Macaca mulatta: one gene and its partner. The protein of the gene in region 2 purifies or fractionates together with the protein of the main gene of each other region. This does not show direct contact. Links are inferred from orthologs where the notes say so. Each region holds a gene or a part of one and is shown on either strand. Other genes may lie near its edges.

Region 1 (4,380 bases), on a different chromosome or scaffold from region 2:
AAACTTAGCTTCAGAATCATTGCTTTAAGGCAGGATTTGCTGCTCACCAACCACTAGACATAATCCTGTCTCGCAGGGTTTCTTAACTTGGGGTCTGTGAACTTGAATTGGAAAATCACGCCCATATTTCCATTCACCTCTAGCTAAATATGTTTTATTTCCTTCAATTACAAATGGGTTAGGTGCTCACAGTGGCATAAGTATCTGTGACTTCACCAGCAAGAGAAATATTTTTTCCCACCACGGTGCAGTTAAGCATCTTGAAATGCTGTTTACCCTTGTCACCACTTCAAAATTACATTAATAATTACACTGGATGGTGTAAATCAATATGTTAATTTATTAAAAGTACATATGACTACATCACCACTTCTAAAAACATGTTTATATCTGTAGTGCAACGTAAGTGGTTTCTTTTGTAATTCTACGTGTTCTATGCATTTGAAAACATAACTATGAGAAGGGGTCTATTGGTATCAGATGATCATAGCACACAGAATTTAAGAACCCTGACCTACTGACAGGTGGAGGCACAAAAATGATTTTAAGACAGCACATTGCCTACATCATGTGAGTTAAGATATAGCTAACTGCTTACGCTGTTGATAGTGGGGTTATTAGTTTGCATTTCGCTGCTAAGCCATGCTACCTGTGTGCCTGGAACAAAGAGGAAGCTCCAGAGAGTTGCTAAAAGAAAGGACAAACTGGGGTAGAGTTCCTGCAACAGCAGTTTGACTACTCCATTGATTCTACCAGCAGCCTAACTGTGGCTCAGTTTCTCCTCTCTGGAGAATAGGAGTAACTATTGTTTACCCCGTGACACTGGAAAAACACACAGGAAAAAAACATTAATTTGTGTGAAAAATTAAGCTTAAGCTCTTTGAAAGACATACTTTTTTATTTTCCACGTGTATCCTTAAACAATAGTTCTAGTGGTCTTAATTTTACTAACACGGTGTCCACATCAGAAGCTTGAATCCCATTCCCAGTTCAGCTGTCCACAATGGGCCACAAGGAAGAAAGAAGCATCAGAGGAAAGGAAATACAGCTCTATTTCGCCCGGGAAATGGGTGAACTTAAAGATCAGTGCATATTGCTTGGATTTGTTTGTAAATATGTTCACGTATGTGTAATGTCTGGACAATGAAAATCCATCGCTTTCATCAGCTTCTCAAAGAGGACTCCAAAGAAGACCTACTCTAGAGAAACGTGCTCCTGAAAAACTGTAAACAAACTGTAAAATATTCAAATTTCTTTTTTACAAGACCCTCACATGTAAACCAGAACCCCTTCCCTACAGCAAACTGTGGGTCACAGATAATAAAACAGGCCTGTGCAACACCTCACAGCTAGTCAATAACCAGACAGGACCCACTCCTAGACCACCTGGCTTTTTCCCCCCTGCATGAGCCTTGTCACTGAACAGTTTTCTTCTTCTTCTTCTTTTTTTTTTTTTTTTTGTATTTTAGTAGACAGCGTTTCATCTTGTTACCCAGCCTGGTCGCAAACTCCTGAGCTCAGGTAATCTGCCTGCCTCGGCCTCCCAAAGTGCTGGGATTACAGGCGTGAACCACCGCGCCCAGCCAGTTTTACTCTTCTTAAATCTGATGCTCATGGCATAAGGCAGTAGTGGCTTTAAATATCACTAGCCACAGCTTTCAGTTGCTCTGATCGCTATCATTCAACTTTAATTGAGTAAAAGGAAGAAAGCAAAGAAAATGCTTCCAACTGACTTATTCAGCTTTCAAAGATGAGTTTATGTTGCAATGCCAGTTTAAAAGCTCCCCTACGACACCGTGCTTCTATAAAGGATTCTCAAATTGATGAATGTCCAGCAAGATCTACTACTAAAGGTCACACAACTGTACTAGCATGAAACAAGCCAAAAGATAAGGCCCTGTCATCCTGTGTTCAGGAAACAACCGCGGGATCATGCCACAGGCCAAGATTTCCAAAGAGATTGCTTTAGAGAGAATGGTTATCAGGAAGCAAGAGCAACAGTAATTCTGGCAGAAGGGCTAGGATCCACACCCGGGGTGTGGGAGTAGGGGGCGGGGAAGCTTGTACAACAGATCGTCTTAATAGAAATCTAGTGTGGCCAAGAGTGCACGACCGCGAATAGAAGCGTCTGCATTTTCCTTCACAACTACCACTCCCTCTTCCCTTCCCCGCCCACCAACGAAAAAAATGCGGCAGGAGTGGAGAGCACGGGAGGAATAAATGGAGTATCTTTGGGGCGTAAACCCGGTTTTAAGACCTGTTTCCACCACGAAATAGCTGCCTGACCCAGGCAAGTCACAAAACCGTGACTCAGTTTCCCCACTACACTGCCGACTACACAAGAATGCTGCCGGGATTAAATGAGACAGACAACGAGTACGAAACCTTCAGCACAGGGCCAGACATTGGAACCGCTCCATGGCCCTAAGGCGAGTCCGCAGGAGGGTTCTGGGGCCTGGGCTCCGGCCCGGAAAGGGCGCTCCCGGGGCCCGCTCCCCGCCAGCTGGGTTCCGAGGCCCTGCCTGGCCCACCTTGTTGTTGTACTCCTCCACGAAGCTGCCCAGCGCCAAGCGAAAGCGCTTATCGGGCCGCACACTCCAGTTCATCGCGTAGACCGTCCAGGGCGCTTCATACTTGTAGATCTCCTTCCGTTTGCCGTGCAGGGACATGGTGGCGGCGGGGCCGCAGTACGGGCCGGGTCAACAGTGGGCTGCGGCGGGCGGGGTGCGAGTCGGGCGGGGAGCCGGGCCTGAGATCTATGGGTCCGAAGGGAGGAGGGGCGGGGGCGGGCAGGAACGGCCTACCCCGGAAGCGGGGATGCGGCGACAAACAACGACAACGACCGAACCCGACCCCTAGTTTCAAACCAGCTTGGGCACCGACGACAACCACCTTCCGTTTCGGGACGCCGCCCCGCCCTCTCGGAACGGAAGCCACGGGACCCCTGCAGCGCCACCGGCCGTTGGTTGCCTGACACGTCCTTTCGAAAGGATTCTTTCTTCTCATTGGTTATTGCGGCCGTAGCGTGTGACATCTCCTCGTTATTGGGTTAAATGTTTGTCATTGCAACTACTCGCCCCGCCCAACTCTCGGAGGCAGGAGCTTTGGCAGCCCCAAAGATCATTGGCTGACCAAGATGTCAGTCAGGCAGATAACGGCGCAGTGCGGGTGGTGGGGGCGTGGGTGGCCGGGAGGCGAGCGTGCTGGAGTAGCGGGCCTCCAAGTTCTAGGCCAAGTCTCTGAGCGTGAAACTGTCTGTGACCTGCGCTGACTTCTCCTCTGCTGCTGCTGTTCTGAGCGGCCTTTCCATGCTGTCGAGTAAAAGTACAATTCTGCTTTAGCGGAAGACCTACTACTTTCGCGGGACCGAGCCCCGCGGCCTGGCAGCCTGGCCTATGCGCAACGGGTACCACCTTCCTGCCCCTTCTCTTCCCAAGGCCCCTTTAACCCGAAAGCTGCTGTCTTCGGGCCTCAGGGCCAGGCTTCAGGGGCGCAGATGCGCTCAGGGCCAGGCCAGCTTGAGTCAGGTCCTCCCGCGCTTTCCTGCAGGATCTAGAAATGTCCCCGAATTCTGGGGTAGACACCGACCTGACCAGCTTGGCTCTGTTTTTGTCGGTTCCCATCCTGTACCTTCCCCGCCGTGCATCCCAACGCAAATGCTAATCCAGCCCCAAAAGTATCTGTGCCTGTGAGTTTGAAAGGGAGAAGGGCCAGAGACCAAGTGACACCTTTATATAAATGGTTTCCAATTCTTAGCTTTCATCAAAATTGAAGGAGGTTTGTATTGAATTGTTGGATTATAACATTAAAGTTTTTTTTTTTTTTTTTTAAAGACAGGGTCTTGCCCTGTCACCCAGGCTGGAGTGCACTGGTGTGATAAGGGCTCACTGTAGCCTCGACTGCCTAGGCTCAAACGATTCCACTTTAGCCTCCAGAGCAGCTGGAACAACAGACTTTTGCCACCACACCTAGCTATTTTTAAATTATTTGTAGAGATGAGATCTCTCCATGTTGCCCAGGCTGATCTCGAACTTAGGCTCAAGCGACCCTCCCACATCAGCATCCAGAAGTTCCGGGATTACAGGCTTGAGCCACCATTCTGGGCGCTAAATATAATTTTTAGTGAAAATGATTTTTCCATCTCCCAGGTTTAAGTGATTCTCTTGCCTCAGCCTCCCGAGTAGCTGGGATTACAGGGGTGTACCACCACGGCCAGCTAATTTTTGTATTTTTAGTAGAGACAGGGTTTCACCATGTTGACCATGCTGGTGTCGAACTCCTGACCTCAAATGATCTGCCAGCCTTGGCCTCCCAAAGTGTTGGGATTATAGGCGTGAGCCACCACATCTGCCCAAGAAATCCCCCTTATTTTTTTATTTT
Region 2 (3,812 bases):
TTTTTAATAAATTAGTATTAAAAACGAATGAACTTTGCTGGGCATGGTGGTGCATGCCAATAGTTCCAGGTACTGGGAAGGCTGATAACAGGATGACTGTTTGAGCCCAGGAGTTTGAGACAGGCCTAGCTAATACAGCAAGACCTCGTCTATTAAAAAGAATGGTCTCTGAGCACAGACATCAGTGCAAAAGTAGTGAATGCAATCTAGAGTTGCATAAACAGCAGCTAAGGATGTAGTTGAGGAAACTGATGGTTCTGCTATAATCCAGGCCACTTAAAACAGGCTATTCTGGAAATGTTCATTCAAAAATCATCATAATGACATTAAAAAAAAACCTCTTTGATAGGCAGTTATTTAGAAATGTAATGGACACCCACCAAGGTAGCAATTACAGATGTCTAAGCACGAGCTGCTCACTAATGGTTAGGGGCAGCACAGATGAGACTCATGCAGTAAATAACCATTGGACTAGAGGACTTCTGAAGAGGGCAGGCAGCTAAGCCAAGGTTATTTCCACCTGTTACTGTATCCTTTATTAAACCTTTTCAGGTAATGATGACTATGTTATACAACTACAAAAAGGAAACACACGGGAAGAAAAGTCTTATTTTTACCTGGCCTACTCACCTAGCGATGCGATTATTGTCTGTCTTCCGGACTCTGCGGATGGCTGTGATATTGGCCCGCATGAGGTAGTGCTGAGCTAAATCTACAAATCCAAGAGTACAGATGTCAAACTGGGTTCTGAACTGGTTTTATAATCAAAGTACTCTAACCATCATGCTATTACGCCTCTGCCAAACATGAGGGGAAAAAACAAATCACCCACCCTCATCTACCTCAAAGGTAGGCTGGAAAAATTAACAAGTCCCACCTGAGATGCCCTTTTCGGTGATGACCACATCGGGTTTCAGTTGGATAATGTCCTCACAGAGCTGCTGGATGTACTCTTCTTCCATTTGGAGAATTCGGGTGAAGTCTTCCTCTCGTGTAATCTCAATGTCAGTCTATGTGGTAAAGGAAAGACACGATTTTAAAATCCCTGGACTGGTGAAGCTCTAAGGGTCCTACTATACTCCCTCCACCCACGTCTCCCACGTATCTCAGACTCAGAATTATGTTAAAGCCATGACCTCAATACCTCTGTAAGCCAATTTAGCTCTAGTTATATCATTATAAAACAACCAGAACTGAAAGTCACACAGCAATTAGTGTTGAGTCTGGCCTTTCTACTCTGACCACCCAGTCCAATCCTACATCTGTCCTGGCAATGTGCATGAAAATTCCAGGCCTTAATTCTTCCCACTAACTGATTCTTGTTCTTTCCAAATGTGATGGAGCCTTGTGAGCCTCCTGCACCCTAGATTTTTTTTTTTTTTTTTTTGAGACAGGTCTTACTGTTGCTCAGGCTGGAGTTCAGTGGTGTGATAACAGCTCCCTGCACCCTTGACCTTCTGGGTTCAAGAATCCTCTTGCTTCAGCCTCCTTAGTGGTGGGGACTACAGGCATGTGCCACCACGCCCAGTTAATTTTTTTAAATAAAGACAGTATTCGCCATGTTGCCTAGGCTGGTCTTGAACTCTTGGGCTCAAGCCATCCACCCACCTTAGCCTCCCAAAGTGCTAGGATTATAAGTGTGAGCCACTGCATCCAGCTGAAATTCTCCTTTAGTACTTCAAAGCTGAATTAACTCCTACCTTATGTTCCCCTGGTACATTAGGAAAGGTCGCATGATAGTATAAAACAAGCCAAACATGACCAGGTTCAAATCTTGATTTTGGCCAATACCAGCTGTATTCCTTGAGCAATTAACCTAACTTGTCTGAGCTTCAGATCCCTCATCTATAAAATGGAATCAATACCAACTAAAGGACTGTTCTAAGAGTCAGTGTACACTATGCACCCAGAAGGCATGCAGTAAACATACCTTTTATTTCTGTTGTTCATATTTGTAGTCAGATTCTTGCATCTACTTTAAGGAACAAGGCCAAGAACCTTACCTGGCTTTCTCCTTTCTTGTATTCCAGAGAAGAATCCAAAAGCACAATGCGAGGGTTCTTGATATAGCGCCGCATGCGTGGATGGGTCACATCCTTGTTAATCATGACTCCACGCAAGACACAGGAGTCTTCAATGATGCCCCCAGGTATCTGAACAAAAGACAACTGCACTTTATAATCCACAATCAAGAGACAATTTCTTAATTTCCTTCCCAGATGTTCATCTTTCCCAAATAGCCACTGTTTCAGGTTTCTAAAGTTCCTTTCTTTGATGAAGTTCAAAAATATGGTTGGAATCACGTTTTTTCCCCACTAGGAAATACACCAATTTTAGACCATGACACTCAACTTGAAGGTCAGCTGAGACCCACAGAAATTCAATGACTTGACAAAAGACTTAGAGGGGCTTATGAGTCAGGCACAATGGCTCACACCTAAAATCCCAGCTACTCAAGAGGCTCAGGCAGGAGGATCCCTCGAGGCTGGGAGTTCGAGACCAGCCTGGGCAACACATTGAGACCCAATTGCTATTTAAATAAATAAGGGCTTAGGTCTCTCCAATTAAAAAAAAAAAAAAAAAAAAGCTGCCAGAGAATTTTAGGCTTGGGGCTCCATCTACTGGCCACAAGCTATACTACTAAACTTTTTGATCTTAATGAAACTTAGTAGAGGAGAGAAAGCTTTCTGGGGCTTACCATTATAATAGTACTATATAATAGAGCCCTTGTTAAGCTTATATCCTGATCAAATGACTGATGTATGCAAATACACAAACATGGAGACACCAATAAGCCTGTCCCTTGTCCTTATAAACCTTGTGTAGGGATAGCAGTGAAGGTAACAACAAAATTATTTCAGGATGGTAGCCTCTTTAGGTTTTTGTTTCCAGGCAGCAAGTATAGTTCTTTCCCGTTTTTTTTTTTTTTTTTGAGACAGAGTCTTGCTCTGTTGCCCAGGCTAGAGTGCAGTGGCGCAATCTCAGCTCACTGCAAGCTCCGCCTCCTAGGTTCACGCCATTCTCCTGCCTCAGCCTCCAGAGTAGCTGGGACTACAGGCTCCCACTACCACGTCTGGCTGATTTTTTGTATTTTTTTTTTTTTTTTAGTAGAGATGGGGTTTCACTGTGTTAGCCAGGATGGTCTCGATCTCCTAACCGCATGATCCACCCACCTCAGTCTCCCAAAGTGCTGGGATTACAGGCGTGAGCCACCGCGCCCGGCCAATTCTTCCCAGTTCTAATTAAAGGTACCTTGTTCTGGCCAGGTGCAGTGGGTCACCCTGTAATCCCAGCACTTTGAGAGGCCAACATGGGCGGATCACCTCAGGTCAGGAGTTCAAGACCATCCTGGCTAACACAGTGAAACCCCGTCTCTGCTTAAAATACAGAAAGAAATTAGCTGGGTGTGGTGGCGGGCATCTGTAATCCCAGCTATTTTAAAGGCTGAGGCAGGAGAATAACTTGAACCTGGGAGGTGGAGGCTACAGTGAGCTGAGATTGCACCACTGCATTCTAGCCTCTGGGCGACAGAGCAAGACTCCATATCAAACAAACAAACATACCTAGCCCTGATTTAAAACTATTTCATTCAAGTAGGGTGCGATGGCTTATGCCTGTAATCCCAGCACTTTGGGAGCCTGAGGTGGGAGGATCACCTGAGGCCAGGAGTTCAAGACCAGCCTGGGCAACATGAGACCCTCATCTCCACAAAAAGAAAAAAAAAAATAGCTGGGCACAGTGGCATGTGCCTGTAGTCCTAGAAAATCAGTGGATTTGCTTGAGGCCAGGAGTTTGAGGCTGCAGTGGGCTAT

What was found.
Region 1: the proteins of CCT3 (region 2) and DCAF7 purify together in Homo sapiens (affinity purification with mass spectrometry; 4 studies listed by BioGRID and IntAct, counting the BioPlex papers as one, with this or other methods). This does not show direct contact. The link is inferred for Macaca mulatta from reciprocal best matches to the Homo sapiens genes CCT3 and DCAF7.

The regions. Positions count from the first base shown.
Region 1 is NC_133421.1:73,348,580-73,352,959, reverse strand, and holds the start of DCAF7 (DDB1- and CUL4-associated factor 7), read right to left. Parts: upstream 2,903-4,380; 5' UTR 2,670-2,902; coding exon 2,532-2,669; intron 1-2,531. UniProt on the Homo sapiens protein: Involved in craniofacial development. Acts upstream of the EDN1 pathway and is required for formation of the upper jaw equivalent, the palatoquadrate. The activity required for EDN1 pathway function differs between the first and second arches.
Region 2 is NC_133406.1:110,605,928-110,609,739, reverse strand, and holds part of CCT3 (T-complex protein 1 subunit gamma), read right to left. Parts: intron 2,154-3,812; coding exon 2,004-2,153; intron 1,011-2,003; coding exon 878-1,010; intron 713-877; coding exon 631-712; intron 1-630. UniProt on the Homo sapiens protein: Component of the chaperonin-containing T-complex (TRiC), a molecular chaperone complex that assists the folding of actin, tubulin and other proteins upon ATP hydrolysis.